2 linked regions of the Saccharomyces cerevisiae S288C genome follow. The protein of the gene in region 1 interacts with the protein of each later gene in a pairwise test. Each region holds a gene or a part of one and is shown in the gene's direction. Other genes may lie near its edges.

What was found. Proteins that work in one complex are often made in the same cells at the same time.
Region 2: the proteins of MKK2 (region 1) and SPH1 interact in a two-hybrid assay, tested with the Saccharomyces cerevisiae proteins (one study listed by BioGRID).

Annotation. Positions count from the first base shown.
Region 1 is NC_001148.4:286,994-290,889, reverse strand, and holds MKK2 (putative mitogen-activated protein kinase kinase MKK2), read left to right. Parts: upstream 1-1,855; coding exon 1,856-3,376; downstream 3,377-3,896. Other genes in the region: UME1 (Ume1p), read left to right, coding at 1-1,221. UniProt on the Saccharomyces cerevisiae protein: Serine/threonine protein kinase involved in a signal transduction pathway that plays a role in yeast cell morphogenesis and cell growth.
Region 2 is NC_001144.5:760,182-764,028, reverse strand, and holds SPH1 (Sph1p), read left to right. Parts: upstream 1-1,686; coding exon 1,687-3,279; downstream 3,280-3,847. Other genes in the region: septin CDC3, read left to right, coding at 1-1,454; mitochondrial 54S ribosomal protein mL57 MRPL15, read right to left, coding at 3,788-3,847. UniProt on the Saccharomyces cerevisiae protein: Polarity-determining protein which forms a conjugate with the ubiquitin-like modifier HUB1. Involved in bud site selection and cellular morphogenesis during conjugation. Required for pseudohyphal growth.

The DNA of each region.
Region 1 (3,896 bases):
ACTAACGATAGCTCATGTAATAAATCCAAAGGTGTTTTGAGCGTACCACTTTTATATTCTCAAGGGAGTGAAATCTTTGAGGTGGATTGTATAGTGCCACTCGGACTTCATTACAAAAAACCTGAAAGCATTTCAGAACCGTTAGTACAACCGGATTATACCATGGAATCTCAAAAGGTGGAGCAGACTGTTTTGATTCCAAAATGGGAATTTAAAGGTGAAACGATTGCAAAGATGATTTACGTGGATAACAGCGAAATAAATGTAAAGGTGATAGCCCTTTCTACCAATGGTTCTTTGGCATGGTTCAGAGAAGGTGTCAAATCGCCCGTTTACACAATGATGGAGCCATCCACTTCTCTAAGTTCAGCATCGTCCGGAAATCAAAATAAACCCTGTGTTGATTTTGCAATTTCTAACGATTCAAAAACCTTAACAGTAACTAAGGAAAAACATCTTGATAATGAAAACGCTACAATAAAATTGATAGACAACTCAGGTAAAATAGGAGAAGTGCTTCGTACAATACCTGTTCCTGGCATAAAGAATATTCAAGAAATCAAGTTTTTGAATAATCAAATATTCGCCACTTGTTCTGATGACGGTATCATAAGGTTTTGGGGTAATGAGATAGGCAAAAAGCCCCTTTGGATTCTAAACGATTCTTTGGACGGCAAAACAACTTGTTTTGCTGCATCACCGTTTGTTGATACATTATTTATGACGGGAACTAGTGGTGGGGCTCTCAAGGTTTGGGATATACGTGCAGTTATCGCTTTAGGGGATGCTGATGCTGAGTTAAATATCAACCAAGGACATAATAAAGTCAATGAACTATTCAAAGTTCATCACTTTTATAGCGAGCAAGTGTCCAAAATAGAGTTTTCTTCCATTTCGCCTATGGAAGTGGTTACAATTGGAGGGTTAGGTAATGTTTACCACTGGAATTTCGAACCTGTTTTTGCCATTTATAACGAGATACATGAGGACTTTCAAGGCATAATATCTGACGAATTGGAGGCCGAAAGCATGGCATTTTATCACACTGAGGGCTGCAGAAGAGAAATAGGAGAAAATAATAAGGTTAATACCGTTGCTTATCACAAATACATTGAGGATCTAGTTGCTACAGTTGATAGTGACGGGTTGTTAACTGTATATAAGCCGTTTACTGGAAAAGTTTTAGATGGCAGTAGAGAGGTTGGAGCTGCCAAAAGTTAATTTTTATATTATTTAGGCTGTTTGAGTTTGGGGCGGAAATGTATGAATAAATTGTGTAATATTTAGTCTTTACTTCAGCTTTTGTTTTTCTAAAAATTTGTTTTTAATGTTTTATTGTCTGAAGTAAACATTAATTATTAGCTTGAGAATTGCTCTACATGTATATATAAACGGCAAGGATCTACTCTTTAATATAGAGAAATGTACATACCTTTGAAAACGCGTTTTCAGAGTTTAGAATGTATAAGGTAACCTTAGAACCACATCTCTTATTGCCAGACTCTCAAAGGTGAACTGATATTGAGCCTATTTTACCCTTGTTTATGTTCACTTTCTCAATGCGAAAAAAAATCAAAAAGAAATAAACTTTATCCTTAGAGTTGAAGAATTAGAAAGAGAATAAATCAAAGGGATCAGTTGGGAAAGCTCAATACTTTCCGCTTAATTTTACTGAAAACCTCATCAAACACGTAGGCACATATATATTCATATATTTATATGTTGGCTACCTTCTAATTTGCATGAAATTCGTTCGCTCAAAAAATTAGACATTTTACTAGTAGCAAGTATTACCTGATTAGCATAGCAGGCACTGTTATCATATCTACAAAATACCAATTATATACACAGGATAATGGCTTCAATGTTCAGACCACCAGAATCCAATAGGAGTCACCAAAAGACTCCAAAATTAACGCTTCCAGTAAATTTAGTTCAAAATGCGAAATCCACTAATGATGGGCAACATCTCAACCGGTCACCGTACTCGTCAGTGAACGAAAGCCCATACTCCAACAATAGCACTTCAGCTACTTCCACTACGTCATCCATGGCTTCAAATTCCACTTTGTTGTACAATAGATCATCTACTACAACTATTAAAAATAGACCGGTACCACCTCCATTACCTCCCCTAGTACTAACGCAAAAAAAAGACGGTATAGAATATAGAGTTGCCGGCGATAGTCAGCTTTCTGAAAGATTTTCTAATTTGCATGTTGATATAACTTACAAGGAACTACTATCTAGTGCTCCAATTTCCACTAAGTTATCCAACATAGATACCACTTTTATCAAGAAAGATCTCGACACACCAGAAGGCGAGGATTCATACCCCTCGACACTTCTTTCTGCGTACGACTTCAGCAGTAGCGGGAGCAACTCCGCCCCTTTAAGTGCAAATAACATAATTTCTTGTTCCAACTTAATACAAGGAAAAGACGTAGACCAGTTAGAGGAAGAAGCATGGAGGTTTGGGCATCTCAAGGATGAGATTACTACACTAGGAATTCTAGGAGAAGGCGCGGGTGGTTCTGTAGCCAAGTGCCGATTAAAAAATGGAAAAAAGGTTTTTGCGTTGAAGACAATCAACACTATGAATACTGACCCAGAATATCAAAAGCAAATATTCAGAGAGCTACAATTTAATAAGAGTTTTAAGTCCGATTATATTGTGCAGTACTATGGTATGTTTACCGACGAACAGAGTTCTTCAATATACATTGCCATGGAATATATGGGAGGAAAATCACTGGAGGCAACGTATAAAAATTTGTTGAAACGTGGCGGTAGAATAAGTGAGAGGGTGATAGGAAAGATAGCAGAATCTGTCTTAAGAGGTTTATCATACTTACACGAAAGGAAAGTCATCCACAGGGACATTAAACCCCAAAACATTCTTCTTAATGAAAAAGGGGAAATCAAATTATGCGATTTCGGTGTCAGTGGGGAGGCTGTTAACTCTTTAGCGATGACATTTACTGGAACGTCATTTTATATGGCCCCAGAACGAATACAAGGCCAACCATACAGCGTAACCTGTGATGTATGGTCCTTAGGATTAACTCTTCTGGAGGTTGCTGGAGGGAGATTTCCATTTGAATCTGACAAAATAACGCAAAACGTGGCTCCTATAGAATTATTGACGATGATCCTGACGTTTTCTCCCCAGTTGAAAGATGAGCCAGAACTAGACATATCCTGGAGCAAGACATTTAGATCTTTTATCGACTATTGTTTAAAAAAAGATGCCAGAGAGAGGCCTTCTCCCAGGCAAATGTTAAAGCATCCCTGGATTGTAGGGCAAATGAAAAAAAAAGTCAACATGGAACGGTTTGTAAAGAAATGCTGGGAAAAGGAAAAGGATGGGATATAAACTTCCAACATTTTCCTCTCGTAACCAGAACTGACTTTTTCTACAACAGGAATTCTTTAACGAGACTTCTCCTCCTTCACCATTCATAAGTTTAACGATGTTCTTTTATTATCTAGACACTCCGAAATATTCTTAACATATACGTATATAGTTTACTGAAAACCGAACTAGCCATGGGCTATGAAAGTTCTCCTATTTCCTTACTTACATCAAATAGAAATGCGCATCCAAGTCTTTCTGGCAGGCACGCTATGATGTGCTAAATTATGACTCAAGTGAGTACTAGGCGCTTTTGTACTCAGCCGCGCGGGGAAAATTTCTTCCCTCCCTACCAAAGAGGAAAAAATCATATGGCGTCATATTATCCTATATACAACGGTCGAACAAAAATCTGCTCGACTCAGAAAAATAAAAGGGTTTTAACATACTTATTGCTTACTTAAGTTACCACTTCAGTAACTGGAGCTATAAATACAATAAGCGTTTTGTACGTAGAAAATATCCTCTATATTGCCTGATT
Region 2 (3,847 bases), on another chromosome or scaffold:
ATGGAGTGGACTCGCAGTACACGAACGGTACGCAAAATGACGACAGCGAGAGATTTGAGGCAGCTGAATCCGATGTAAAGGTGGAACCCGGCCTCGGTATGGGCATCACCTCCTCTCAGAGCGAAAAGGGTCAAGTTCTGCCTGACCAACCGGAGATTAAGTTCATTCGTCGTCAAATCAATGGTTATGTAGGGTTTGCTAATTTGCCCAAGCAATGGCACAGAAGGTCCATAAAGAACGGATTCAGTTTCAATCTCCTATGTGTCGGCCCTGATGGTATTGGTAAGACAACTTTAATGAAAACTTTATTTAATAATGATGATATTGAGGCCAATTTAGTGAAAGATTACGAGGAGGAACTTGCAAATGATCAGGAAGAAGAGGAGGGTCAGGGCGAGGGTCACGAGAACCAATCACAAGAACAAAGGCACAAGGTCAAAATTAAGTCATATGAGTCGGTTATTGAAGAAAATGGTGTTAAACTGAATTTGAACGTGATCGATACTGAAGGATTTGGTGATTTTTTAAATAATGATCAAAAATCATGGGACCCGATCATTAAGGAGATTGACTCTCGTTTTGATCAATACTTGGATGCGGAGAACAAAATCAACAGACATTCAATAAACGATAAAAGAATCCATGCATGTCTTTATTTCATTGAACCTACAGGACATTACTTAAAGCCCCTGGACCTGAAGTTTATGCAATCTGTATATGAAAAATGTAACTTGATTCCTGTCATTGCTAAATCTGACATCTTAACTGATGAAGAGATCTTAAGTTTCAAGAAGACCATTATGAACCAGTTAATCCAATCTAATATCGAGCTGTTCAAGCCTCCAATTTATTCCAACGATGATGCAGAAAATAGCCATTTATCCGAAAGACTATTTAGTAGTTTACCTTATGCTGTTATTGGTTCCAACGATATTGTAGAGAACTACAGTGGTAATCAAGTGAGAGGCCGTTCCTATCCATGGGGGGTGATCGAAGTGGACAATGACAACCACTCTGATTTCAACCTTTTGAAAAATTTATTGATCAAGCAATTCATGGAGGAATTAAAGGAAAGGACAAGCAAGATACTATACGAAAACTACAGGTCTTCTAAATTGGCAAAACTTGGTATTAAGCAAGATAATTCAGTTTTCAAAGAGTTCGATCCAATATCTAAACAACAAGAAGAAAAAACTTTACATGAGGCAAAACTAGCCAAACTAGAAATTGAAATGAAAACAGTTTTCCAACAAAAAGTTTCCGAAAAGGAGAAAAAACTACAAAAATCAGAAACTGAATTGTTTGCTAGACATAAAGAAATGAAGGAAAAATTAACTAAACAATTAAAAGCTTTGGAGGACAAGAAAAAACAGCTAGAACTTTCAATAAATAGTGCTTCTCCCAATGTTAACCACTCCCCCGTCCCTACAAAGAAGAAGGGATTTTTACGTTAGCGAAATAAAGACATATAAAAATTTCAAACATACACTATTAAATATTATTACTATTAATATATAAAACGCGAGACGCGTAAAATAAAAAGAAGAAGGGTAAATAGAAAAAAATGGAAATGAAGAAAAACAGAGTTATTCAACTAAATATCTGTTATGATTTGAATCGCAGAATATAAAATTAAAACAGTAAAGTAAAAGAATATCATAATGTGGCCATAACGAAATAAAAAGAATGATTAGCTCAGAATTAACGAATGATCAAATCATAGACCTTATATCGGATTATAAGAATTTCAAAAGAATTATAGAGGCCTCTGTACCAGAAGATGATAGAAGAAGGAACCAAAACCGCCAAAATAGAAATAAAGACCTGACAAAATTGTCGAATGTACAATTTTGGCAACTGACGACTGATGTCAACGATGAATTGATGAAAAGATTGACAGATTCGGGTGCGGATGCATCACTAAATGATCTTGATCTGAAAAGAGGTAAAGCACAATCTAAACTGTCTCGATTGAAGGACGCGAAGTTCCATAAATTGATTCTTGATATTTTCACGGAAATTGAAAGGAGAAACTTACATCATTTGGATATGGGGACGCATAACAATGGGTTAGACGAGGGTGATCTAAATTTCTATTTAAATGACACATTATTTGAATCCTTCAAAATAAACGATGATTTTATGAGCGTGAATGGTATTATATCCATTGAAGTCTTCCGAGAATTAAAAACTCAATTTACACTTTATTTTCAAAACACGCTCCATCGAATTGATCCTGTGGATACCACCACCACACGCCTGCCGATTCTGCTTGAGACTATAATTAAGATAGCAAAGTTGATAGGCGATCTCTTACCTGTCCTATCATCAGTTTCACTGCAAAGTTCTTTAGAAAACGAAATAGTATACTTAAAGAGTGCTTTATCTCATGCTATCACTTCAACAAGATATTTTCTCACATATGGGGACCTAATACCACGAATTGTAGCTCAATCATCTATTTCGGAAGTGATTTTTGCGTTCTGCAATATTGCTCAGATTGTGAAGATCAAATCCACCTCACGTGATGATATATCACGCAATGAAGGAGAACTCAGTGATATCGAGGCAGGTATGAAACCGTTGAAGATTATTGAAAAAGTGAAAAATGAGAAAAACGGTAAGGATATATCATCTCTGGGTGATAGCGGTAGTACTGCTGTTAGTTTTCCATCCTCTGGTAAGCCCATTACAAAAAAATCGGACATGCCAGTGGTTGTAGCATCGCCATCAATTTCCATCATAGAAAAATCTGAATCTTCTATTCGAGAGAGTGGGAAGGTACGAAATAATACATCTGGAGAAACAAACTTAGCGTCTGTGTCGCCGTTAAAAAACACTAAGAATTCTTCAAGAATTACGAGTGAGCCATCTCCGCGAGAAGGTTTGCCTCTGAAAGTTGTCTCGAACTCGAGAAGTCCAAGTCCTCAAGGTAACACATTGCCGCTAATTGGTAAATTTCGGCAGGATTATCAGGCATCACCTCCGAAGAAAGTTATCACTAAACCAGTGGCAGAAACGGCGAAGCCGTATGCAAATATTCCGCCAGCTGCAGACGTACTTTACTCGCCAACCGTGACCAAAATGAGGAAATTCAGAGAGAAAGTGCAGAAATTTGCTCCCAACTCTGGTCTTGGATTAAGAATATCTACTTCAGAAGAAAACTTGAATAATTCTGATGTCAACTCAACCACGCACAACGCTAACATAAATAACCTCGTCGAATTTGTTGAGAGTAAATCAATGGTTGTTCTTCCTATGGCAGGCAGGGCATTTTGAATGATGTTCAAGCCTCTAAATCAAAATTGTTCAAGTCCGCAAGATCAGTTTCGAGATTATGTCAAAATTCCATCGAGATTATTCCTATTTTGGAATCGGTGATTGATATGACTACCAAAGCAATGGTCCAAAAAAGTTTTAAACTGGATTTAGGCGAGCACTGTAAAGAAATTATTGAAAGGCTCACAGATTGCTCGCAAAAGTTATCGGAATTGTGTACTTATGGATGCGATTCCACAAAGCTTGGGAAGAAACGATTCTATCAAAAATTAGCAGATATCCTGATGGAAGTAACCAAGCGCACCAGGGAATTGGTTGAATGTGTGAAGATGGCGAACAGGCAGACTCTTTCACAGGACCTCTCGTCATTTTTCAATTATAGATCTGTACAGTAAAGTCATATATATTCTTTAGTTATTATCTTATTTTATTTCGATCACTATTTACAGATAAATTTTTCTTTTATACATTTTTGGCCAGTGAACCATCAACTATATTTTTTGTATCTTCACAGAAATGCTTTATTTTCCTTGTCGGATATTTTTGCCTTTGCAGATGCTACATTTTC